Linked DNA regions of Schizosaccharomyces pombe. Each later gene encodes a partner of the first gene's protein in a complex. Each region holds a gene or a part of one and is shown on either strand. Other genes may lie near its edges. The genes, in order: erb1, ytm1 and ppp1.

Evidence for each region.
Region 2: erb1 (region 1) and ytm1 share a complex: the UniProt entries of both Schizosaccharomyces pombe proteins name them as parts of the NOP7 complex.
Region 3: erb1 (region 1) and ppp1 share a complex: the UniProt entries of both Schizosaccharomyces pombe proteins name them as parts of the NOP7 complex.

Annotation. Positions count from the first base shown.
Region 1 is NC_003423.3:2,710,068-2,718,690, forward strand, and holds erb1 (WD repeat/BOP1NT protein), read right to left. Parts: upstream 6,593-8,623; 5' UTR 6,580-6,592; coding exon 4,357-6,579; 3' UTR 4,182-4,356; downstream 1-4,181. Other genes in the region: asn2 (asparagine synthase), read right to left, coding at 1-1,427; paxillin-like protein Pxl1, read left to right, coding at 2,445-2,473, 2,530-3,817; nop4 (RNA-binding protein), read left to right, coding at 6,798-8,623. UniProt on the Schizosaccharomyces pombe protein: Component of the NOP7 complex, which is required for maturation of the 25S and 5.8S ribosomal RNAs and formation of the 60S ribosome.
Region 2 is NC_003424.3:5,005,004-5,012,748, reverse strand, and holds ytm1 (ribosome biogenesis protein Ytm1), read left to right. Parts: upstream 1-3,870; 5' UTR 3,871-3,891; coding exon 3,892-4,042; exon of another isoform or gene 4,043-4,150; intron 4,151-4,323; exon of another isoform or gene 4,324-4,404; coding exon 4,405-5,576; 3' UTR 5,577-5,733; downstream 5,734-7,745. Other genes in the region: nucleoporin, WD repeat Nup155, read right to left, coding at 1-672, 729-833, 885-1,017; pxr1 (PINX1 family ribosome biogenesis protein), read right to left, coding at 2,088-2,942; serine/threonine protein kinase Ppk16, read right to left, coding at 5,778-7,628. UniProt on the Schizosaccharomyces pombe protein: Component of the NOP7 complex, which is required for maturation of the 25S and 5.8S ribosomal RNAs and formation of the 60S ribosome.
Region 3 is NC_003423.3:3,708,411-3,716,564, forward strand, and holds ppp1 (pescadillo-family ribosome biogenesis protein), read right to left. Parts: upstream 5,248-8,154; 5' UTR 5,210-5,247; coding exon 5,188-5,209; intron 5,176-5,187; exon of another isoform or gene 5,150-5,175; coding exon 4,982-5,149; exon of another isoform or gene 4,828-4,981; coding exon 3,194-4,827; 3' UTR 3,009-3,193; downstream 1-3,008. Other genes in the region: sac11 (inositol polyphosphate phosphatase), read left to right, coding at 1-118; hom3 (aspartate kinase), read left to right, coding at 862-974, 1,346-2,792; nucleolar protein Dnt1, read right to left, coding at 6,790-8,154. UniProt on the Schizosaccharomyces pombe protein: Component of the NOP7 complex, which is required for maturation of the 25S and 5.8S ribosomal RNAs and formation of the 60S ribosome.

The DNA.
Region 1 (8,623 bases):
CGCTCATCGAGAAAAGGATAACGCACCTCTTTCCCTTGATTAGACATTACCCTGTCATCTCTGCCCAAGTTACGATGTGGAATACGATCAATGTCCAATTGCAGTTCTTCTTCAAGACCGGCCATACCTTTCCGTTCAAACGCTCGTAGGTGCCGCATATAACCACCGAGCTGCTCATCAGCCCCCAGGCCACTGATGAGGACTTTAGCTTTTATAGTATAGGAAGGTAATTGATGTTTCAGTTTGATATCATCCACGTTTTGTAAAAGTACACCACGCCCTTGTGAAGCAAAATAAAAAGCTAATCCAATAGAAAGATCCATAACTGAATCGTTCGGATAGATAAGTGTTTTGACTATTTCCTGTGCTTCACATACTTCTGTATAAGGAACGTTTATAGCAACAAAATTCCATTTTCGAGCAGGGCAAACTGAAATAAGCTCCTGCCAGCCTTGTAATCCAGTTTGTCTATCAGGACATACGTCGTATGCATCAAAATTGTCAGGAAGAAGTCCCGTCTCTCTGTCACGGTATGTCTCTGTAAATCTTGGGTTTTCAAAAGCCACATTAATTAAATCGATGGACTCGTTATTGGGAACTATGTCGTGCATTAGCCGTGCTAATACACCGCAATCCACTCCCCCAGAGTAAAGAACGCAAACTCGGCTATAATGACTACAGTCAAGGTTTGAAGAGCACAGTTTGGGGATTGTTAAAACTCTATCTTGAAGCGCTTTGATAAGATATGTATGCAATGTGTCCACAGTGTCTGAAGAGATTGAGCCCATGAGAAAGGACTCATCCACAGGAGGAAGAGGGTTTGTTTTTTCCAGTTGCATTAATGATTTAGAGAAGTTAATTTTTGGGATCAAGTCCACCTGCACACTATGAAACCCAGGCTCAACTTCTCGGAAATCACTAGAATTTCCTACACTTGAGAGAACGAAATTACTATCTCGTAAACTATACAAAAGGGATCTTCTTCCTAAGCGATCTCTTCCCCACCACAATGTGTTTGTACGAACTTGGTAGTAAACAAAAGCAAAAGGTCCTTGAATACTTCCCAAAATTTTTTCAATGTCGCCCGGGTTATTGTTTAAAAGTTCAAAAAGTTTTGCACCGTCGTTTTCATTACGATTGAGCGTAAATTTGTGATGATCGCTATGGTTTATTTGCCAAATTTCTCCATTCCAACACAAAACGTTTCCAAAACTGTCAACATGAGGTTGAGGCGTTAAATGATCAGAAGGGCCACGTAAATGCAAAACGCTTGACTCAAAGTGCAAATTCCAAGGTCCGCTATTCAATTTATGCTTACCAAAAAAATCAGGTCCTCTAGCCCGAATCCTTTTTCGTAAAGCTGAAAAAGATGGACTTTCAAGAAGATTATCTCTGTCTTCCGCTAAGGCGAAAAGAATTCCGCACATAAACTATTCTCAAACACTTTTGCTTCTAACAAATCTACAGTCAAAAAAGTGTTTTTTCCTTTAACGACGTTTGTGTGGTACAGTGTGATCGTAATTTTATATACAATATCATTTTGCGACACATTGCAACGCTTATAAGTAACTACACACTGAACAGACTCACGGGTCTACATATTTTTTCTTATACAATTATACTTACAACTGGTAAAGAATTTTCTTAGGTCAATCTGTAGCTTGAAAGCCAAAATTAGGTTTCTATTTATGAAACAATAAGCGAAATGCTGTATGCCTGACAAAGCATAATGGGGTAGTTAATGACATTTAAAGAGCTGTAACAATACAGTAAGCATTAATAACGCGCTCCACAATAATCTACTGCCAAAGTATAAAAAAAATAAATTATAAAAAGATATTGTACCATATTATGAAATCGCAACATATAAAATTGTCCAACAAATAACATTGATTTCGTTTGGAACATTTTCTGCATAGGAATGGCTTAATTCACTTTAATTACTAATATATTCGCATTTTTTTACTTTCTGCTGGTATACAAACATTGAATACGTACTCTCTAAGTATTCGTTAAAGGTACAATGTTACCTATTATGAGGCTGGTTTCTATAACAACGAATGTTTGTTTATATTTTGGAATATACACTTAAACAAAGCCAACACTTATTAGCTAAAACACTTTGGATAAAGCAAATATTACTGCTTTCTAAATAATAACTACTTGCTTACAATTGCATTTTTTTAATACAGCTAGTTTTTTTGGGGGACTCCGCTCTTTGAGATATATATCCTTACGTTGGCAACAATTTTCTATAAGTTAATCCCAGCTTGATTTTTGTTTTTCCTTCCTTATCCTTCTCTTCCTATTTTTTATCTTGTTTTTAAGTGTTGCGGCTAGATTTATACCCTGCGAGCTTGGCTATCCTGATTTCTTAAGGTTGTCAACGATCCTGAATTCTTTCCGTTGATTAGTGTCCTGATAGTTGAGAAGCATATCAGCAAATGCATTCACCAATTCCAGAATTACCAAGGTAATCTATTGTCTTATTGTTATTACCCAATTAGGTATCTAACTTCGTTTTTGTAGATTTGAACGTCGATTGACTGGTCCTCGTGCTGCTCCTTCTTCGCCGGTCTCTACTAATGGCTCCCCGCTAAACAATTTAGTTCGTTCTCGGTTATCTGATGGAGCACTTAACTTTACTGGAGGTCGAATAGCTACACCATTACCGCAACCAAGTTTGAAGACTCCTGAATCTCCTTTGTCCAAGAGGAATCCAACAATAAAACAAAATCGTGTACGTTTTGATCTGCCTGATGACGAGCTCTCTCGTTCTAATGTTTCGTCGCCGGAAAAAACACTACTAACCTCTGCTTCTACTTCTACTTTCGATAGCTTAAAAAAGGAGCTTTTACCTGAATTGCCATCTCTTGCATACAGTGACGACGATGAGTTTCCTAGTTCGCCGGAGGAATTGAATTCACATGTTAATTATCCAGACGTACGAAATGTTTACGATTGTCATACCGGTTTACAGCCGCTTGTTGATCATGATTGCATTGAAGACAGACAAAAAACCTTCGCATCCAAACAACTTCCTACTCTTCCTTTACAGAAATCCAGTAAACTTTCCAATCGTAGACCCGCTTTGCATTCTTTTCATTCTGCTCCTGCTAATAGCTTATATCCTTTGCCCACCCCCACTTCACAATTGCCTAGCAACTTGTCCTCAAATAATTTATTTCAATCAGATTCACTTAAGCCTTCAATGGTATCTTCTCATACATCTACAAAACCAGTTCTTTATAGAGGCAATTCTGAAAAATCCTGTCATAGTTGCGGCGGTTCTTTACGCGCTGGCAGAATAATTAGTGCTTCAGGAAAGAAATTACACCCTCAATGCTTCAAATGCGATACTTGTTCCCAGAACTTAGAGCACGTTGGATTTTATTACCGCGAGGGAAAATTTTATTGTCATCTAGACTATCATGAACAGTTCAGTCCTCGCTGTAAGCACTGCAAAACCCCAATTGAAGACCAAGCGGTCCATATCAACAATGATTGGTTTCATGAAAATCATCATTTTTGCGCTGGTTGCTCTGAAGTTTTTAATGTAAATATACCCTGTATTTACCGTGACGACCTATACTGGTGTCAGACTTGTTATGATAATAAGTATGCTGTTAAGTGCAAGAAATGCCGTAAACCCATTTTGGGGATCAGTGTAAAAGGGTCTGATGGTGAATATCATAGCCAATGTTGGACCTGCGGAGCTTGTAATGCCCTACTTGGAGATGAGGGTTATTTTATGATAGAAAATACCCCTATTTGCCGTCCTTGCAAGGCGATATCAGTCAAGTTTAATTTGGATTAACTCAGACTTACTCATCACTTTCTTTTTCTTTTTTTTTTGTTATTTTTTCACTTCTTTCATCGATTTTAGCTTTATAAGGAAAGCTGTCTTGGAAATCTTGGAGATTTTAAATCATTTCATTTAATCCACAAAGTCCAGCATGTTTACTTGCATTTAAACTTGCTGTATTTTTATAATTAAGCAATTAATGATTAGGTAACTATAGATATATAAAAAGCACTATTGAATTTCAACGGTTACGATTTTTGATATCACGTAATACTTAAATACTTTAGATAACTTACCAAAAAATAAAAAATAAAAACATATTCAGTTTGCACAAATGCATTTTAAACTTTCGAAAACCCCTATATTCCTATTAAATATCCAAAATCAAGTACGAAAACAATCTTTTCGACTTGTTAGCAAAACTATAATACAGCATTGAAAAAGTATCTTTTGCAGTAAACACTACCAAACATTATTTTTAAAAGTAGAGTTTTTCTAAATTTTAAAGCAAGTGAAGAAAACAAAAATATTTAAGACGTTTCAAACCTTTTTCAAGTCCACATCCGAATTTCTCCACCAGCACCTGCACTGAATAACCAGGCTTCTTTTGGATGCCAGCATGTGGATAAAACACCGACATTATCAACCACTTTATGATTCCGCAAAATCTTAAGAGGAACAATCAAGGGATTAGCCAGAAGGTCACTGTAAACACGACCGTGGAACACTTGAACATCACCATCATCAGAGCCAGAGCAAAATAGTGGAAGGGAAGGATGATATGAGACATCGCGAAGAGCACGTGAATGATATCGAAGATTTTTATATGGTTTAGAAGAAAAGTCTAAGTCGAACCAACATAGCCTTTTATCATAGGAACCTATTATGACATGGTCCCCACTCGAATGGACACTTAAACTCGAAACCCATTTGACACCAGTTAACAAGGTCTTTACAAGCTCTTGCTTAACAAGATTGTATATGCGGACATATCGTTGAGTAGCAACCAGAAGATAAGGCATAGTAGGGTGAAACGTAACAGCTTGCACAGAACCTTTAGACTTAGAAAATGGCGATTGACTTGCACCTCTTGACAACTGATGAATAAGAACCGCCTGGCTAGAAGAAGTAGGAGAAGAAGTAGCTAGGTAATCACCGCGACGATGCCAAGACAAGGACTTAATGCTACTGGGAGTAGAAACAGTAGCATGGACTATACCACCATGTAATTGTAAAGATTGTTTGGCTCCTCTTCTCCATATTGCACTAGATTCTTGGTAAGGAGCAGAAGTAAACAATTCTTTAGAAGCTTCAATCTGCTCGTCAGAAAAGATCGGGGGTGTGATGAAATAGACTGTTTCATCAACAGCAACAGCAAGCACTGGACTATCTGAAAGAGGTCCCCAAGCAAGTGATTGAATTATAGAGCTCTTTGTAGAGTGACTTAAAGATTCATTAACCGCATCCTCATCGCTATCAATATTATGTGCATTACCAAAACTGTCCAAGCTGCATTTCCAAACACAACGACCAGTCATTACTTCCCAAATACGTAAAACTCCATCATCACCTCCACTTGCAAGCCAATTTCCGCTAACATGGACCGAAAGACAACGAACACGACCTTTATGACCGATGAAAACATTGGTGCAGCGTGTCGGAAATGGACGAAGCTCAGAGGGGGTAGGAAGTTTAGGAAGTAACGATTCTGGATCAATATTAAGTTTGGTACGTCTAACACGGGGAGCTAAATAAAGATCCAAGCAACGTTCAAACTTCTCCTTTATAAGGTTTGAGTAAGCAGGAACAACACGTAAGGATTTATATTTCTTAGGAAAGTCCGAAGACTGTTTTAAGTATTCTTCAGGAGGGTTATAGCTTTCCTCGTGTGATGGAGGAGGAAGCTTAGGTGCAGGTGCATAGTCCAACTTTCTCTGGTTAACAGTTGCTTGATCATCATCCGCCCAAAGATCATGATCTGCATAATTGCTTTGACTTTCGCGTTCACGTTCAGCACGCTGTTCAGAAGTGAGAATTCTTCCTTTACGGATAGCATAAGCAAGCTGTAAAATACGCTTTTGTTCATGCTTAGAGGGAGCAAATCGACGTTTGGGCTCAGGAGCGCTTGAAAGAGGAGTTTCCCGTACGGTGTTTGTAAAAAAATCATCATAATCAGGATATGGATCAAAGTTTTCGTCAGGAATCTCGGATTGAGCAAGTCGCTTTAGCAAACCGAGCTCTTCCGTAGTCAAGTTAACCGGCTTTCCCGTCATAGGATCAACTATTCCAGTCCATCCTTTGTCCTTATCAATGCTAGCAATTAAAGAATCCAAAGCAGCAGGTGTCGCAGGTCGGGTAATCTTTTTTCCATCTATATCATAATTTATATACAAATTCTCATCATAAGGAGATTCATATAGTCCAGGAGCGACATCTTCTGTAGAGGAATCGGAAGAATAACCAGCATCGATTTCCTCAAATTCTTCTTCATCATCAGCATCCTCAAAATCATCCGGGGATAACTCTGGAGTAGAACGTCCACTTTCAGAAGAATATTCCCCTTCTTCTTCCTCGGATAACTCGGCCGTCAAAGATGGAATTTCCTCATCAACATCTTTTTTAAAACTTGGTTCATGTGAAGAACTCTCAGTCTCAACCTCATTTGGCACATTTGAAACTCCTTTAGACTTTTCTTTTTCCTTATCCTTCTCTACGCCAACGTTGGAATTGGCTCTTTTGGACCTGGACCTCTTCCTATTCATGCCAGTCTCCATCTTGGAAAAAGACAAGGTAGTTTAGTTCCTGTTCAAAGTTTCTTTTTGCTTTTTCTGCAAAGTAGAGTACGCTTCCGTTAACATGTATAAGGATTTGCAACGAAATGATAATATACCGAGTGTCATTAAATAATATAGAGTGTTGAAGATTTCTTCTCGTTAATTTCGAAAAAGTCTAAAGTACATGTTCTTAGGAAAAAAGAAATTGTCGTTGTACCATGAACTCAAATAGCACATTATTTGTGCGAAATCTTGCCTTCCAGACAAAGCAAGATGATTTAACAAACTTCTTTTCCGATGTCGGACCTATCAAGCATGCAGTAGTGGTTACTAATCCGGAAACAGGTGAAAATCGAGGATATGGATTTGTAACATTTTCAATGCTTGAAGATGCTCAAAGAGCAGCTAAGGAGTTGAAAAATAAAAAATTACATGGAAGAATTCTTCGATTGGATTTCGCTACTCCCCGTAAACGATCGGAGGTAGACACAGACCAGAATAAGGCTGTTAAGAAGACAATTAGGCAGGATAATCGACCTCGTCTAATTATCCGAAATCTTCCTTGGTCAATTAAAAAGCCACAACATTTGGAGCCTCATTTTTCAAAGTTTGGTAAAGTTCGTGAAATTAAAATCCCTACAAAGGGTGGAGGTCGTATGTGCGGCTTCGCCTTTGTCTGGATGAAAGATCGTAAAGCTGCTGAGGAAGCCATGAATTCTCTAAATGGGACAGAAATTGATGGTCGTCCTATTGCCGTTGACTGGGCAGTTAGTAAAGATGCATTCGAAGCTACTACATTAAAGGATGCATCTTCTGAGGAGGAAAACAAAGAATTTGTATCTGATGAAGGACACTCAATTGTAACTGAAGATGCTTCTGCGGACTCAGAATCTGAGGAGGAAGTGGATGGGCATTCGGAGGGTAAAGAATTGGCGGGGGAAAGTGAAGAAGAGGGTAGCAATGTCGACGATGTAGAGGATTCTGGTGATTCATCTTCTGACAAAAATTCTATAAATCATGAAATTCGGGACAATGAAGGATTGGAGGACACTGTGTTTGTTCGCAACCTTTTGTTTGAGTGTACGGAACAAGAATTGTATAATCACTTTCGTCAATTTGGGCCGCTTGCATACGCTAAGCTAGTTAAGGATCCTGCTACTGATCGTTCATTGGGAAGGGGTTTTATTAAGTTCCGTTATGAAAAGGATTGTCAAAATTGTCTTGAAATGGCTTCTCAGTTACCTACACAAGAGCCTACTGAGGCTGAAAAACGTTTTCTTCCATCAGTTTTAGTAGATGAGGGAATTGATACTGACAGCGTAAGTTCTCGTTTCCTTCTACATGGTCGTTTGTTGAAAGTTACGAGCGCTGTTACACGAAAAGAGGCTTCGGACATTAATCAAAAAAGTTTACAAGAGAGAAAGCAAAAAATGGGGAAAGGTGTTGATAGGCGTCATCTATTTCTTCTCAATGAAGGTAAAATTGCTGCCGATCATCCTTTGTTTAACAGTTTATCTGAGACTGACAAAACGTTAAGAAGTCAGTCTATCGCCCAACGTAAAAAATTATTGGAGAAAAATCCCACCTTACATCTTTCTCTTAATCGTCTCTCTATTCGTAATATTTCTAGACACATTGATCCTAAAATTTTAGCAATGCTGGGTAGACAAGCTATTCGTGGATTTATGGACGACGTTTCGAAAGGATTACGAGCTAACATAACTGAAGAGGAAGAGAATCTTGACAAGGGACACAGACTTAAAAGGGGGAAAAGTGGTGGTGTACTTAAGCAAGCTAAGGTAGAAACTGAGAAGGCTGGTGCTGGAAGATCAAAGGGTTTTGGTTTCATGCAATTTATTTCTCATAAATATGCACTTATGGCTTTACGCTGGCTGAATGGACGGGAAATTACTGTTAAAAAAATAATAGATGCAGAAATTGAGTGGGCGCGAAAGCATAAAATTCCTGAGCCGCAGCTACCAAATATCGATTACAATGATCGTCCTCGTCGTCTAATTGTCGAATTTGCTATTGAAAACATTCA
Region 2 (7,745 bases), on another chromosome or scaffold:
ATAAGGGAGAGGTTGCATTTAGCATTTGAGCTTGAGAGATCATAGAGCTGAAAGAATAAAAGACACAACGATTTACGCCGTTTTTCGTAAGTTCATAACAAGAAACAGAAGAGGTCTCTCGCAAAACATAAAGCAAGCTACGGGAGTCATCAACAGCAATCTGCTTGATGCCATCACCATGAGTACCAAAAGAAAAGAAAGAAGGAATAAAATTATCAAAAACAGAACCGGTAATATTAATTTTGCTGCATCTACGAGAAAACCAGCCTTCTTCGAGTTGGTAAGAAAATTCATACAAATTGGGATCTTTGTTTCCGGAAAAAAAAATACGTCCATCCTCCGAAGAAACGATACAATTAACATTAATCCCTTGAACAGATATTTGGATACCAGTTGAGAAGAAGGATAATTCACCAGTTTTCTCATCGATTGTAACACCTAATAAGAGCATTTCTTGTGAAGTTGCTATTACGAGTAAATGCTGGATTTCCGAGACGAAAACATTGGCCTTTGGTCTCACTAACTTTACATTGACAATGGTATGAGATAAATCTTCGTAAGCTTGAAAGTTTTGACCCGAAAGATAATCCCATAAGAACAAACGGTTGTCCACAGTTATCCAAGCACGTTGGATTTCAGCAAAAAGCCCCATTTGAGTAAAACATTCCGTACCTAAACCGATGATAAGTTAGAAAAGTTACCAAGGCGCATAAAGTTCGTTTACTTACGATTGTATTGTTCAAATATACGGTCAGGAATATTTACAACAGAACGAAGGTAAAACGGCTTCCAACCACTCAGAACTTGTGATATGTATTCTGGAGCGTGTACTTCTAAAAAAAAATAATTAGCCTTCAGAATTGATCAAACCTGCTTCAACATACGACCAATAATGTCTCCTAACTCTGGCAATTTTAAATCACGCTCCGTTGCAGCTTCAATCGCAGCATAGCCACGTGATAGAAGTTCATAAATACCATTTTCAGTCGATGAAAATGATGGATCATTGATGTCCATTTTCCCAAGCTCCAAATGAAGGACAGCTGGAAATGTTGGCTGCTGGTGCGTTTCGACCAGGCAAGGTATTCGTTGGTACAAACACGTATGCCAGAAGTTAGTTGCTTGAAGTTTTCATCTAGCAAGTTTTAGAAACATAAAACAATAGGAAAAATACTAAAAGACACATTTAAAAATACGATGTTCCCACTTCACTCAGTTATTCTTTTTGAGTAGCACTATAAATTCTCTGAAGCGCCGTAGCAGTTTGATATTAACCATATACTTCAACAATGAGTTTATAAGAACAACGCAATAATATTGCGGTTGAAATTGTAATTGTTAATCATGTGTAAGTGCAATACATAATTTAAGAAAAAAGACAGTTGCGAAGATGATTTCTTGATAGGGACAACAGATTTAATTATGTTGAAAAAAAATCGGGAAAAGATAGTAGATATATATTGCTGAGCATTACTGTGATTTTTCTGTATTCACATACTATTCTATTTTTACTGAACTATACTAACTTTCTCTAGCAGGAGATCTACTTTTAAATTGGTGGTTGTACTAGCTCGAGTAGTTTTCTTTTTAGACTTCCTTTTGTATGGAAACGTGCAATTTAATGCATGTGAATATAACCAGAGTTTTAGTGATGGAGGAATAGCCTTCCGATCTCCATAGCTTAATAGAAATGTTATTTTTAACTAATTCTTTGTATGGCATATGAGATACTTCGATTGGTATGTGTGTAAATGATTATCGTAACTTTAATGAATGTTTAGTAATGTAAAACTTTCAGGATGAAGTCGTCAATATTTTTACCTAAAATCCCGTATTACACAAACCAGAGTCATAAAATACGAACGCGATTACTCTCAATAGCTGATTACAATACGACATAAGTAGCTTTTCGAAATTACAAGCCCGAATCCAGCAATTTCTTCCAAAATCAACTAAATATTACCTTCTATTAAGACATAGATTAAAAAACCGACAAACCCTTCCTCTTAAAGTATTGTATACCCATAACTTCTAAGACTCGTTTATTATATTCCGCAAGTTAGAAAAATAGCAAAAGAAGTCACTTCCTAACCTTTAATACCTAAAATCTCCCTTAAAGCAACTGGGTCGCTTACTGCTGCTCGCTTTTGTGCCAAAAATTTTCTTCTGGTATGGAAATGAATGCTAGCGGGTCGGTTGCCTTCTTTGACCTTCTCGACAGAGGAAGTGGACTCTGGTTTATCCTTTAATTTTATTTTCTTTTTCTTTTTCTCTTCTTTGTCGCTTGAGCCTGATTTTCTCTTTTTTGAAGAACTTTCCTTATCCTTTTTCTTGTGCTCTTTTTTCTTCTTCTTCGTTATTTTTTCCAACTTTTTAGGATCAAGAGCCGAACCAGTAGAGGTCTTTTTCTTACTTTTCTTCTTAGAAGAGTGCTTCTTTCTTTTTTCACGCTTAGCTTCATCGGATGAAGACGCATCTTCACATACACGATCCTCATCCTCCTCTGCTTTTTGCATCCATTCAGAAAATTCACTAGTAAACGTCCCACCCAAAACAAATCGTCTGGATAGCTCAAGTGATTTTAAACCCTTCTCATTCGCACTCTGTCTCTCGTATGTTAGTTGCTGCACCTTTGCTTTCTCAGCATAGACACCATACGCAGACTCATCGCCGTTAAGTCGACCAAAAATAGCGTTGAATTCACCTAAACCGCTCCATTCAAGATCGTTAGTTGCTTTGGCTCCAATTCCCAGTGTATCATCTTTTAGGCTGACCTTGATGTTATGAATGCGACCATGTTGCTTTTCACCCAAGCCATTACCATTCACCCAACCGTAGGAGGATAAAAGCTTAAATCCCAATCTATTTGTATCTTTTGCCCATTTAGAATTCCGAGGATCCACACCAATCTGTTGTTTCTTTTTTACACCAGCCAAACCCATGATGTCCTGTTAATCTTCAATAAAATTTTTTTTTTATCGACGATCAATATGTGAGAGGACAAAAAAGAATGAGAATAAATTATAAGAAGTAATCAATTGTAAGAAATAATTAAAATTGCGAACAGCGCAAAGTAATATACATAAAAATATGTAGCAGCCTGAGTCCTAAAATCCCACCAAATCCTAGAACCGATGAATTCTTTCCCAAAATAAAACCTTTTTCGAGGATAGAATCAATTGAGTCTCCTCTTCTTTTATAAAAATATAAACACACGATAAATCAACGATCTAAACAAAGTCTTCTCGCTAATTGAGAAACTCTCCAAAATTTCTCGAGTATTGCACTCAAATTGGTGAAAAAGGATAAATTGATAGATCTTTATTAAGTTTTAAAAAAGAAAAGTACTGGTTCTTGGAATTTCTTGAAAAGTGGTGGGCTCAAGAAGGGAATATATGCAGTTGGTAAACCGGCTATGTGTTAAAAGCGCTATAGATGCTTTCAAAGGCATAATTGAAATCTTCTTTCAAATAACGTGAAAGCATTCCAAAAAATTACAATGTTATAATGAGCTGTAAATAATACCGGTCAAATCATCATTTAAGTCGTTTTAAAAGAAGTATTTCAAAAGACGTTAAATCTTACAATTCGAGCATACTCTGGAAAAAAATAAGCTTTAAAAAAGTTTATCCTTTTACTTTTAAAGCATACTTTAAATCTTCTAATATTATTTTTGTTATTCTTAGATTTTGTTCAACTGTTACTTTTCTACTCAAAAAAAAAAGCTGAATTAGGACCGCTATCGATGAATACGAATTGGGTTGATTAAACTTGAAAATTCTTAAAAAACAGTCTCGTAACATCTTGATCAATTCAGCCAAAAGTCATTATCCTCATTTTTTTGGTACTGGAAATTTTGATCTTTTCGACACTCCTTCCACCAACAACAGAATGGATGCCCAAAGCGCTCCTTCAGGCCAAGTTCAAGTCCGTTTTACTACTAGAAATGAGGATTTAGCTGTTGGTGACACGCCGATTTTTGTTCCTACATCTTTAAAGCGGTACGGCTTATCTCAAATTGTAAATCATCTTCTAAAAACAGGTATGTTTTCAGTTAACACATACTGGGTCAAAGCAGGAGAAAAGTCGCATAATTCAACCAACTTGAAGAAAATTTGAAGCAATAGAATAGCTGGTCTCATGCAAGGCCCAATTACTATAAAACTGTGTAGAAGCTGAAATTTGTTGGCGAGAATCAAATGGGGGCTTCTCGAATCTAAGAGTTACTCTAGTGTTCTTTTTCACGCCTTTCTTAAAATTTTGTAAAATTCTTGAAGATGCATTACTAAAAGCCCTTTTTTTATTTTTTTGTCTCTTTTACCTTTCATCCTCGTTTTGCTTCATTGCTATACAATTTTGCGATTTTTTAGTTAATTTAATTTATTTCCTTACTAACTTTACTAGAAAAGCCAACACCCTTTGATTTTTTGGTTCAGGGTCAGCTGTTAAAAACTACTCTCGATGAGTACATAGTTCAAAACGGATTGTCTACGGAGTCGATTCTTGATATTGAATATATCCAATCTACATTACCACCTGCATATTTAGCTTCTTTCTCTCATGACGATTGGATTTCTGGTATTCAACTAACCTCAGATACCATTCTTACTTCTTCATACGATGGGATAGCTCGTGTTTGGGATAAAAGTGGTGAAATAAAATTTCAATCAACTGGATGTGGATCATCTTTAAAAAGTGCATCCTGGCATATACCTAATCAAAGTTTTCTCACTGCTTCACTTGATCAAAAAATTTTTCATTGGGTGATCGAAGAGCCAGAATCAATGTTGGATGCTGAAAAGAAAAGCTCCGGTATCCTTCAAACTCTTTTCGTAGGGCACAAGGATATAGTTGAGCGCGTACGATCCTTAGAATCTTCAAGCGTTTTTATTTCTGCTTCTGCGGATAATACTGTCGGAATTTGGGATTTTGAAAGGTCTCCTGAGACTACCCTCGAGTCCTTTTCCTCGTCTATATCTAAAAAGAGACGTCGCAAAAATGCAGAATTCACACCTCAAGCTGGGGCTCGCTCTCCGCTGATCCTTTGTGAGGGGCATACTGGACCGGTGATGGATATCGTCTTTTCTGATGATCCAAGTGTTGCATATTCCGTAGGCCAAGATCACACAATTAAGACTTGGGATCTCATTACTGGGCAAAATGTTGATTCCAAGATAACCAAAGCTCCTCTTTTATGCGTGGAAAAACTTACTGACCTACACTTAGTCATTTGTGGTTCCTCTGCGCGACACATTGTTGTTCACGACCCTCGAGCGGGAAGCGACAAAATTGTGAGTCATACTTTATCCGGCCACAAGAATTTAGTTTCCGGATTATCGGCAAGCCCAGAAAATCCCTATATGTTTGCATCCGTCTCTCACGATAACACTTGTCGTGTTTGGGATGTCCGTGCTACATCCGGCAGTATTTACACAATTTCTAGAGCAGAAAAAACAGGCTCTCAGTGGGATAAACTTTTCGCTGTTGATTGGAATAAATCCATTGGTATTGTTACGGGAGGTACTGACAAACAACTTCAAATCAATCAATCCTCATCCTTTGGAAAAAGCGAATGAAAAAAGATGTAGCATAAAAAAAATTGACAGATTATGATTTAGTGTGGTACAAGCGGGATAAGTTAAGGAACAAGGTCATTACTACTAGAGATTAAAAGTTTGATTAAATTATTTAAGAGAACACTTTATTAAAGCAAAATAAGTTAATAATTCAAATTATACACACCACGTAGCTTAGTAATCGTGTAATAAACTTAAGCTTCAGAGCAAGTCTGTGAAATGTTTTGAAGAGTCTGAAAAACTGGTTTCTTCCGGCTCCTCTTCCTCTTTGACTGAGCTTTGATTAAACATCAGAGAGGAAGATGATTGCGGGTTTTTTCTACCAGAACCAACTGTAAAAATTGCAGTAGCATTTATACGAGTGTTAAATGGCTCTCCGGAAGGAAAATGGAAACTTTTGTGCAATCGTTCAAAAGGAGAATGAAAAGGTGTTTGCCTTTGAACGGTCGAACTGGAAGGTTTAGATGAAATAATAGAAATTAAAGAATTTGAAGATGCAGAAGAGACGTTTGAATAGGATCTAGTACGGGATGAATTCCTCGAAGAAGCAACGGAAGAACGCCCAGACAAGCTGCGTATGGGAGTTCGTGATCGTCGAGTCGGCTGGGGAGATATGACAGTATTTTGCAGAGGAGAAGGTGGAATATCAATATTAATTGAGAGGTTCGAACTTTTAGAAGGGCTATTTTGAGAGTTCGAGGGGAAGGTAAAGTCTTTATTACCGTCGAGGTTTACCGTTTTTAAAAGAGGAGGAGTGAATGGTGTGTTTTGCTCACCTGTATCAACGTGCGTTGTTTGAGGAAGATTTGAGTGTCTTCTTCCAAAACTGTTAATCGAAGGAAACACGGTAAGGTTCTCAACTGAATTGTCTAAAGACTCAGATAAATTATCGGAATCAAAATTTTCTTGAGTTAAATAGTTTTCAGCCGAAGGACTAGGTGTTCTTGGTCTAATTGCTGATGAGCTTAACGTATCAGCAGTATGCTTTTGTTTAGGATCGAATAACCAACTACGAAATGTAGAAAGCAAAGAATTACTTGAATCTGACGATGTATGCCGACTTTTTAAAGAATCCTGATTGTTGGACATAACAGAAACTTGAGCGGTTTTTAATGATGGAGTTGCTGGAGCTATGTGTACAGCCGAAGATGAACCTTTATGTAAATGAAACAAACCTTTCTTTTTTTTGTTTTCCTTACGCATTTCTTTTTCTAGTAATAAAAGCCACCATCCATAGAACATGTCACAGCGCTGTTGTGAGATGCTGGCATTAAGTTGATCCATGTCAACACCAACAAATTCAAGCCTTTTACGAACTTTTTCCTCTGCTTTCGAGGAAGGCCTTGGGTCTCGAATAGAAGATGAATGATATCCATTTTCCTTGAAATAGGGGTGAGAGATGATTTGATCGATAGAGGGTCGAAGTCGGTAATCCTTGCAAAGGAGGGATTTCAACAAGCTTGAAGAGTTTTTGGAGAGTGTTTCAGGATATTGAGGACATTCATTGATAATTTTTTGCTCAGTTAAAGATACATCGTCCTCGTCGAACGGGAGCCTTCCTATTAAGAGAGCGTACATAATTATACCCAGAGACCATATATCAACGCATTCACCAATATATTTATGGCCCTGTACTAGCTCCGGAGCACAATAAGCAACTGTACCACAACGTGTGTTCATAAATGTTCTACGGGAACAATCAGAATCTCTAGAAAACCCAAAGTCTCCAAGCTTAACATTGTAGGCTTTATCTAGAAAAATATTTTCGAGTTTAAGGTCACGGTGAACACAGCCTTGTCTATGTAAATACTGAATAGCACAGCATAGCTGCCACATGATACGGCAAGTGGTCTTTTCATCCAGCCTTTTTTCTCTCGCTACCCAGTCATACAATTCACCATTTGGACAATACTCCATGGCAAGATAAATTCGGTCTTCGGTGCATACTACTTCATAAAGCCTCGTGATGTTTGGATGAAGAAGACGCCGATGATGATGAATTTCTCGAGCAAGGATAATCGCTTGTTTCCTGCAAGATGATTTCAGGACAACCTTTAATAAAAATGTTAGCAAGGTACAATCAATTTATTGATGAATAAAACGTTTATCATTCTCATAATGTAATCAACCGACTTTGGAACGGTCAATATTCGCAATTTACGAGCCGTT
Region 3 (8,154 bases), 1.0 Mb from region 1:
ACTCCAGTTTATCAACTGGCCTAGGCTACTTCTTCCTTCTTTTTTACGCTCTGATATGACTCCAGAAGGCAGGGTATTTGTAATTAACCGCCAACTCGCTTCGAAGCATAAAGTTTGAATACTGATATTCTTATGTTAAACTATGAGTTTCCTTGTATATACTTATCGTTGATAGTTGTACTCTTGTAACCTTTGGGTACTTGATTTGTCGATGGTAAGGATTTTCATCGGATGAAATATATACGATTATTTATCGTAATAACACATTTATTAAAGCATTATTTTCCTTTGCGTGCTACAGAAGTGAAATCCTTTTGTTTGAGTAATAACAATGTACAAACTTATGCCCGTACACTGAAATTTATTCCTAGACAACATAAAGTGTTACGCGGACAGCTTATGCAGTCATTAAATATATACTGTTTTGGGTTTGTAGCGCTGCAGCAAGTTTAGACTAAGGTTAATAGTAACTTTACAATTCGGGCGATATATAATTTGAAATCATTATTTGTCGACAATAAGCATACGATTCAAATATAGACTTTTGTAAAATAATCTAATGTATTCACATTCATCTTCTATAAAGTATCCTTCAAATCAACAAAACGCCGACAACTCAGCGTTCAAAGTCTTCATATTAACATACTCATTGCAATGCATATCTGATTTAAAATTAAATGGTAAATATAGTGAAGCAACCAAGTATCATGCAAATTCCCAACGCAAAACAAATTAACGCAATTGTAAAAAAAATTGCAAAATAGAAGGTGGCAACGCTATCGAGATTTTCATCTGTGAATTGATCTAAATATCGGAAACGTTGAATTCCACACTTGAGCAGTGCCAACTAAAACATTGACCATGTCAATTGCAAAGAATATAGAAAACGATCCTAGCAAAGGGTGGGTTGTTCAAAAATTCGGTGGAACCAGTGTTGGAAAGTTCCCAATTAAAATTGCTGTTGATGTTGCAAAGTGAGTATTTTGTTTACAGTTTATATGATGGTTCGAGGAGTATGGTCATCGTCTGAATCTAGCAGGTTCAAAAATATTTAAGAAGTCAAGAGAACTTTTTCCTGAATGTGCGTTAGATTGGAGTTTTCATGCTAGAATGCCCGAAATTATTTAAAAATAAGATATTTCATGTGTTGAATTATGCTTGGGAATATTGGCTAATTAGGTTTTTTTGAATCGAATTCAAAATGAGAGAAAGGAGATAAAAGAGGTTTTGGTTACTCTTTCCACTTTCTATCGATATGAGACTTATATATTTAAATGCTTACTCCTCTACAAACTGTCGACCATTTTAGACCGTTAAATTACAAATTACTAAATAATTTATTTAGGGAATACCTAAGTACTAAGCGCGTAGCATTGGTATGCTCTGCTCGCAGCACAGATACCAAAGCAGAAGGCACTACTACTAGACTTATTAGAGCAACAGAAGCAGCATTGCGACCTGCTGTAGGTTCTGTGCATGATTTGGTTCGTATTATTGAAACTGATCATGTTCAAGCTGCTCGTGATTTCATCCAGGATGTTGGCATTCAAGACGAACTTATTGATGCTTTTCATGCAGACTGCGTTGAATTGGAACAGTACCTAAATGCTATTAGAGTTCTTTCCGAGGTTTCTCCTCGTACTCGTGATCTCGTGATTGGCATGGGGGAGCGTTTAAGTTGCCGATTTATGGCGGCAGTTTTGAAAGATCAAGGGATCGATTCTGAGTTTATTGATATGAGTCATATAATTGACGAGCAAAGAGAGTGGAGGAATCTTGATGCATCCTTTTACGCATATCTTGCTTCCCAACTTGCTAGTAAAGTTACCGCTGTTGGAAATAAAGTACCTGTCGTTACTGGCTTTTTTGGTATGGTACCGGGTGGTCTTTTGTCGCAAATTGGCCGTGGTTACACCGATTTTTGCGCTGCTTTATTAGCTGTTGGTCTTAATGCTGACGAACTTCAAATATGGAAGGAAGTTGATGGCATTTTCACAGCTGATCCCCGTAAGGTTCCAACTGCTCGACTTCTTCCTCTCATCACACCTGAAGAAGCTGCTGAACTTACTTATTACGGTAGTGAAGTCATCCATCCCTTCACTATGTCCCAGGTTGTTCACGCTCGTATTCCTATCCGAATTAAAAACGTTGGCAACCCACGTGGAAAGGGAACTGTTATTTTTCCTGATACAATTTCACGTCATGGTAGTGCTACACCTCCTCATCCTCCTAAAATTATGCCCGATGATATTTCTGCTAGCCTCGCTAACAAAGGCGCTACCGCGGTTACTATTAAAGACACCATTATGGTTATTAATATTCAATCGAATCGTAAAATATCTGCTCATGGTTTCTTAGCTTCCATATTTGCCATTCTTGATAAGTACAAATTGGCTGTTGACTTGATTACTACTTCAGAAGTTCACGTCTCAATGGCGCTTTACGAAGAGTCTGATGACGGTAATATGCATGAGGCATTCGTTGAATTGCGTCGATTGGGAACGCTTGATATTCTCCATGGTTTAGCTATTCTATCTCTTGTTGGTAAGCACATGAGAAACACTACCGGTTACGCTGGTCGTATGTTTTGCAAACTTGCTGAAGCCCAAATCAACATTGAGATGATTAGTCAAGGTGCTAGTGAAATCAACATTTCATGCGTTATTGACGAGAAAATGGCTGTAAAGGCTCTTAACGTTATTCATAAAGAATTGCTTGAACCCTTAGCTTTACATGAAGTTCCGTCACAGGCCTCGATGTTGGTTGAAAAGCCTTGGCTTTACAGTGCTTAAACGTACTGTAACCTTGAAAGTCAATTTAAAAAATAAAAAAAAAGTGTTGTCTTGCCTTCATTTTTTTGTTCTTTTTGTCTTTAAATATTTTACATTCTCTATTTTAAAATTACCGTGAGTTTTATTTTACTCATTATTATTATTTGTACGTTTATAAATAAATATTGACTACATAAAATTAATATTTTATAATATATCTCAAAAATTGATATTCATCTTCTTTATCTCCCAGTCGAAAAAATGTTAAGCAAAAGTGTATTTATTATATAAAAACGATCAGCTTCAATTAAATTGAACACGAACCTAATCCATGGATACAGTAAAATACAATGAACTCATTTTAAGAAACAAAAAGTAAATGACCCAAAATAATCTATTACTATGATTACTGTTTATTAAACCTAGTTTTCAACCTTTAATTTTTTCCTCTTTTCAATATCCCTCTTCCGATTGCGAAGCGCATTGTTGTAGTTTTCGTTTTTGCTATTTTCGTTTTTCAACTTACTGTAAAGCTTTCTCTGTTTATTACTCATCATCATTTTGGATAACTCCTTTGCCTCTTTTTCTTCTTTTTCTTCTGCAGTCAAAGTATCACGTTGACGCTTCTTAGTCTTTTTCGCGGACTTAGAATTCTGTTTAACATATTCAGAATAAGCGACACCGCCTGCTTCTGCCTCCAGCTCTCGTTGATGTTCTAAGTCTTCCTCTTCAGCGTCATCAATTTGTTCAACATTTTCAGGCTCGTCATTCTTCTTACTTATGGGCACTGCTTCGCCAGAAATATTATCATCAAGAGCTTCGGAAACATCGTCGTTCTCTTCAGCAGAAAGTTCAGCTTCAGGATCGTAGTCATTTTCACCTACTTTAACAAATGGACTAAGATGAGGAGGGAGCGTAGCGCCACAGGCATACAAGTCTGTCCTTTCCAAGATTCCTTTGTTGATAGAGTCGTATACCCATTGTGGTTGAATATATATCCTACCTTCGTACTTCTGTGAAATATGAGGACGATCACATATATGATGAGTAATCACAGGATCAGATTCTGAAAATGGAGAACCTGATCCGAGAATTGGATCCCATCCAACTTTACCACCAAAGGCACGAATCACAAATTCCAGAGAAAAACGGGGGACTTCACGAGAAAGGAAAAAAGTAAAATTAGAAAACAACGAGGTATTAGATGATGAAATATGTGATACTAGGCTTTTGGAATCCTCATTATCTGCACCATCAGCTGGTTTAAACTCATCTAAGTTTTCCTCCGTTTCAGGTTCCTCATCAGCATCCTCAGTAGTTTTTTCCGACTGCTCAACGACGTTCGCATCACTATTCACAATATCTCTTATTTTACTTTTTAAAGTAGCAATATTCTTACGAGCATTTTTGTTATTACCATGGACGATAGCGGGTAAGGAAGAAGACTCCTCTAACTCATAAGCTGCTAAACCAGCGGCAGATTCGCTTTTAGCAACATCAATCTTAGGGGGATAACGAAGTCCCAAGGTATTATATAACTTGAAATTTACAAACCCCATAAGTGCTTGATAAAATTCCAAAAAAGTGTGCATGATACGAAAATCAACATCGGTAGGAACAGATTGAGCAAATTTGTAGGGAACAATCCAGGTGATTTGCTCACCAAAAATCTCGGCCTGATAATAAATTCCTTTAATAGAGAGGAAAGCTTTACGAAGGGAATTTGACCGAATTACATAGTGTTGAAATTCAGCACATAATCTTTCACAATTAGCGACAGTAGCGGCACCAATCTTGTCGGTAACAGGCATAGTTGAAAATAAGAACAGCATACTAAGAGCATCATCAATATCTTTCAAGGCATCATGGAAGGTTGGGTAACGCTCTTTAATGATATGATCCAAAGAATAAGTGGGTTTTCTGGCCTCTAAACGTTTAGCAGTTTCTAATTCCCCTTTTCCCAATGCTTTGCTAAGCTTGCGAGCGAACACTTTGTACTCGCGAAACTTCTGTACAATAGGCTCATGTAACAAATACTGGATATCCTTAGTATAATCTATTATATTTATTAGTACATAATTTCATTCTTTTAGTTCATCAAAAAAAGACTAGCCCATGATAAAATTGACCATTCGGAAAATGCTTTTTATACCAAACGTCCATGTTCAGATAGCTATGATTCCGGTAAAAATTGATGCTATTAGACTTACAGAAAGTGACTGGAGCAGTGGAGCCTTTATTTGCTTTTTTCTTATTTTTTGGCTCACGAGGATAAACACCCTTTAAAATACAAATACGACGAAAATCAGCAAGAGTGAGCTGAAGCTTCTTAAGCGCTTGATTTCTCGTAATGTAGATACGAGCTGCACCTGCTTTCCCTGTTTTCAATTAGAAAATTTTTTTACAAGCTACATACCTTTCTGTTTTACCCTCGCCATTTCTTCAATTTGATGGCTTTTTGCAGAAAGAGGGTGTTGGAAGAATTTTGCAAAATCCAAAATCCTTCATACAGACTAGCTTAGCTCTCTGCACTGCGTAAATGGTGTTAGATGGTAGTATTATCTCACAGCGCTAAATTTTCTTATACTATTTTACGTTAAATTTCGCTATATTTGTGTTTTTCCGTACTTTTGAGATAAATCTTTGCGGCAAGGGACTAATTGATTTTTGATAAGTTTGTAAAGGTCTTGTAATTTAAAATAACTATCAAAACTTCTACAATTACTCCAAGTGAATCAATGTTCGACGATTTAGTTGTTAGCTACTCAAGTAAGTTATAATCTTAAGCAATACAGTAGTGATATATTAAAGTATTTATGTTTATTACATTTTACGGTAAATAAACAAATCTTCAGGTACGCAGCTAGGCATCTGTTTTAACGACAGGTAGAGTTGCGATGAGTCTTCCTTGTGATTTATTAAATTATATAGTACGCATATGATATATATAGCAATTTGTAATAGATATTCTTATATTCAGGTTACGTCGTTTTCTGTCACTAAAATATTATTATATGAGCCTCGCTCCTCAGTTCAGTTGTAGCTTCCATTTATCATTTTTATAATAATTTATATCAACGGTTTTTGTGTTAAATAGATAGACGGGTATACGCAGTTATTAATAATCTGATTTCACTTCAACTTATGGCATACAAAGTTACTCAACGTTGAATAACATAGCATAGTGTATCAGCGCTGAGATTTATGAGACCGTATGTATATGTTTGTGTAAAGGGAAAATTCACCCAATTTATCGTATTGCTAAAGCACTTTATAGTAAGAGTGTGATAAGTTTCTTTTCGATCATCTTACTTTTATAGAGCTATTATTTTACTACAAATAAATAAGTTCGTTCACTTTGCATAATATCAACTATACGCAGTTAGTTTGCCCGGATCAAGAAATTCATGTTTAGCTGGTCTTCGTTATAAACATACTAAAGAATAGAAAGATTTTACTAATATCAGTTTTTGTTAACACTATTGAACCATTATGAGTAATGTCGAGGGTAAAGTAATTACTATACAACAAATAATGGCATTTTTTGTGAATTTAGGTACTGCCTATAATAATATAAATACTAAAGCTCGTGAAAATATTTGAATATTGTAATCTAATTTGTTCTTTTTTTTTACGAATTTTAGTCCGGAAAATTTTACTAATATACTAATTACTGTCATTGTCTGGTCTCCTGTTTCCTACAACTAGCAGTTTTAATTTTACAATCAGTCATCAAAAAAGGATTTGAAATGAAGCAACTTAATGGACATTAAAGAACGTTCCATTTAGAATTTCAACATCTTTTTATCAGCATCAAAGTTAAATCAAGTTTTGCTAGCTAATTAACATGTAATTTTATTAATAAGTCAAAATTATGCAGAAAGCCAAGAAAACTAAATTTATTATATACGCAATATGATAGCACAACAACGCTATTACAGAATTCTTTTGCTATTGGACTTATGATGAAAAAAAAAAAAAAAACGAGCGTAAAGGGAGTTAATCAAAAACAAGAAATTTACACTAGGGCCGCCAAGCCAGCCAAAGCACTGTTTCTTTTGGCTTTCCTCTTTTTCTTTGTATTTAGTACAGTACTTGCTCTTTTCTCAACGGGAATAGGATTGGATCTATCTTCCTTCTCCGAATTGTCGCTTTCATCTGAAGAACTCCCTGACTCTTCACTTTCAGAAGATTCATCAGAACGCCCTTCTTCTTTTGATTCCTGCATACTGACCGCGGTCTTCTTCGTAAGAGAAGGTTCTCTAATTTCAGGAGAAAACGTTTTAGACAATTCTGAAAGACGTGAGTAAGACAATGTCCTATGAGTCTCCGGTCTTTCCGTAGAAGGCTTAGCTTTAGGTTCCTTCGGGGATCCTTTGGTTCCTCTATTCTGTATCTCGTGAGATACAGAATTTCGTTGTTGTGATTTCTTCTGTAGTTGACTTAAAGGAACAGAGGAGTCCGAGTCTGAATCCGAATCTGAATCATTTTCAGAACCAATCTCATCAGAAGGTTCATTTCCCGCTGCAGATATCGTCGATGTAGTAACAAGGGTCTGGGAAGGAGGGGGAAATTTGCTTTTACCATTCTCACTTTCTTTATCATGCTTAGCTGAAACGTTATCATTAACCAGAGATTTATTCGGGCTATCAACCTTCGTTAAATCATCACTAGTATCTGAATTTTCGGACGGGGAAGAAGATATAGAGGTCGTAGAGGATTCAGAAAGGGTATCGTTCTCCGATTCGGTGGTATCGTTTTCGGAAGGAACGGCAGTGGATGGATGAGATGAAGTTTCTCTAACTATTATTGCAGGAGCTCTAATTTCATGCTTTGCCTCCGTTTCTTTTTCATCGGATACATCTGATGAACTGTCATCATTGACTGAATCTTCATTTGGGCTTTCAACAGAAACTTCTCGAGTAGAAGAACGCAATGATTTATCATCAATTCCATCAATGGTTTCACTTTCTTTAATTAATGCGGCAGGAGAATGTTCGACTAAATATTTTCTATCATTATCTTTCATGCGAAGACGGGAAGGCGATGATAAAGTTCGCAAGGGAGCATCTGACGATGAATCAGAAGACGCATCGTTAATTGAAAAAAAGTTAGCTCGATTATAAGTTGTTGGTTGACTTGGTGTTAAGGAACTATTGAAGGATTGGTGATTATCATCTTCCTCCTGAGTAACTGATAAATTAACTATACCGTCAGCCTTTCTATCTTTATCTGGACTTTCAATTTCTTTTAAAGCAATCCCTTCGGTTAATGTACTTTCATTATCATGATTTGAAGAAATTGAGTATGCTCGATCGCGAATACTAGTTGGTCTGTATACAAATCCAGGAGAGTTCGCATCAATTGCCTCTACAAAATTTTT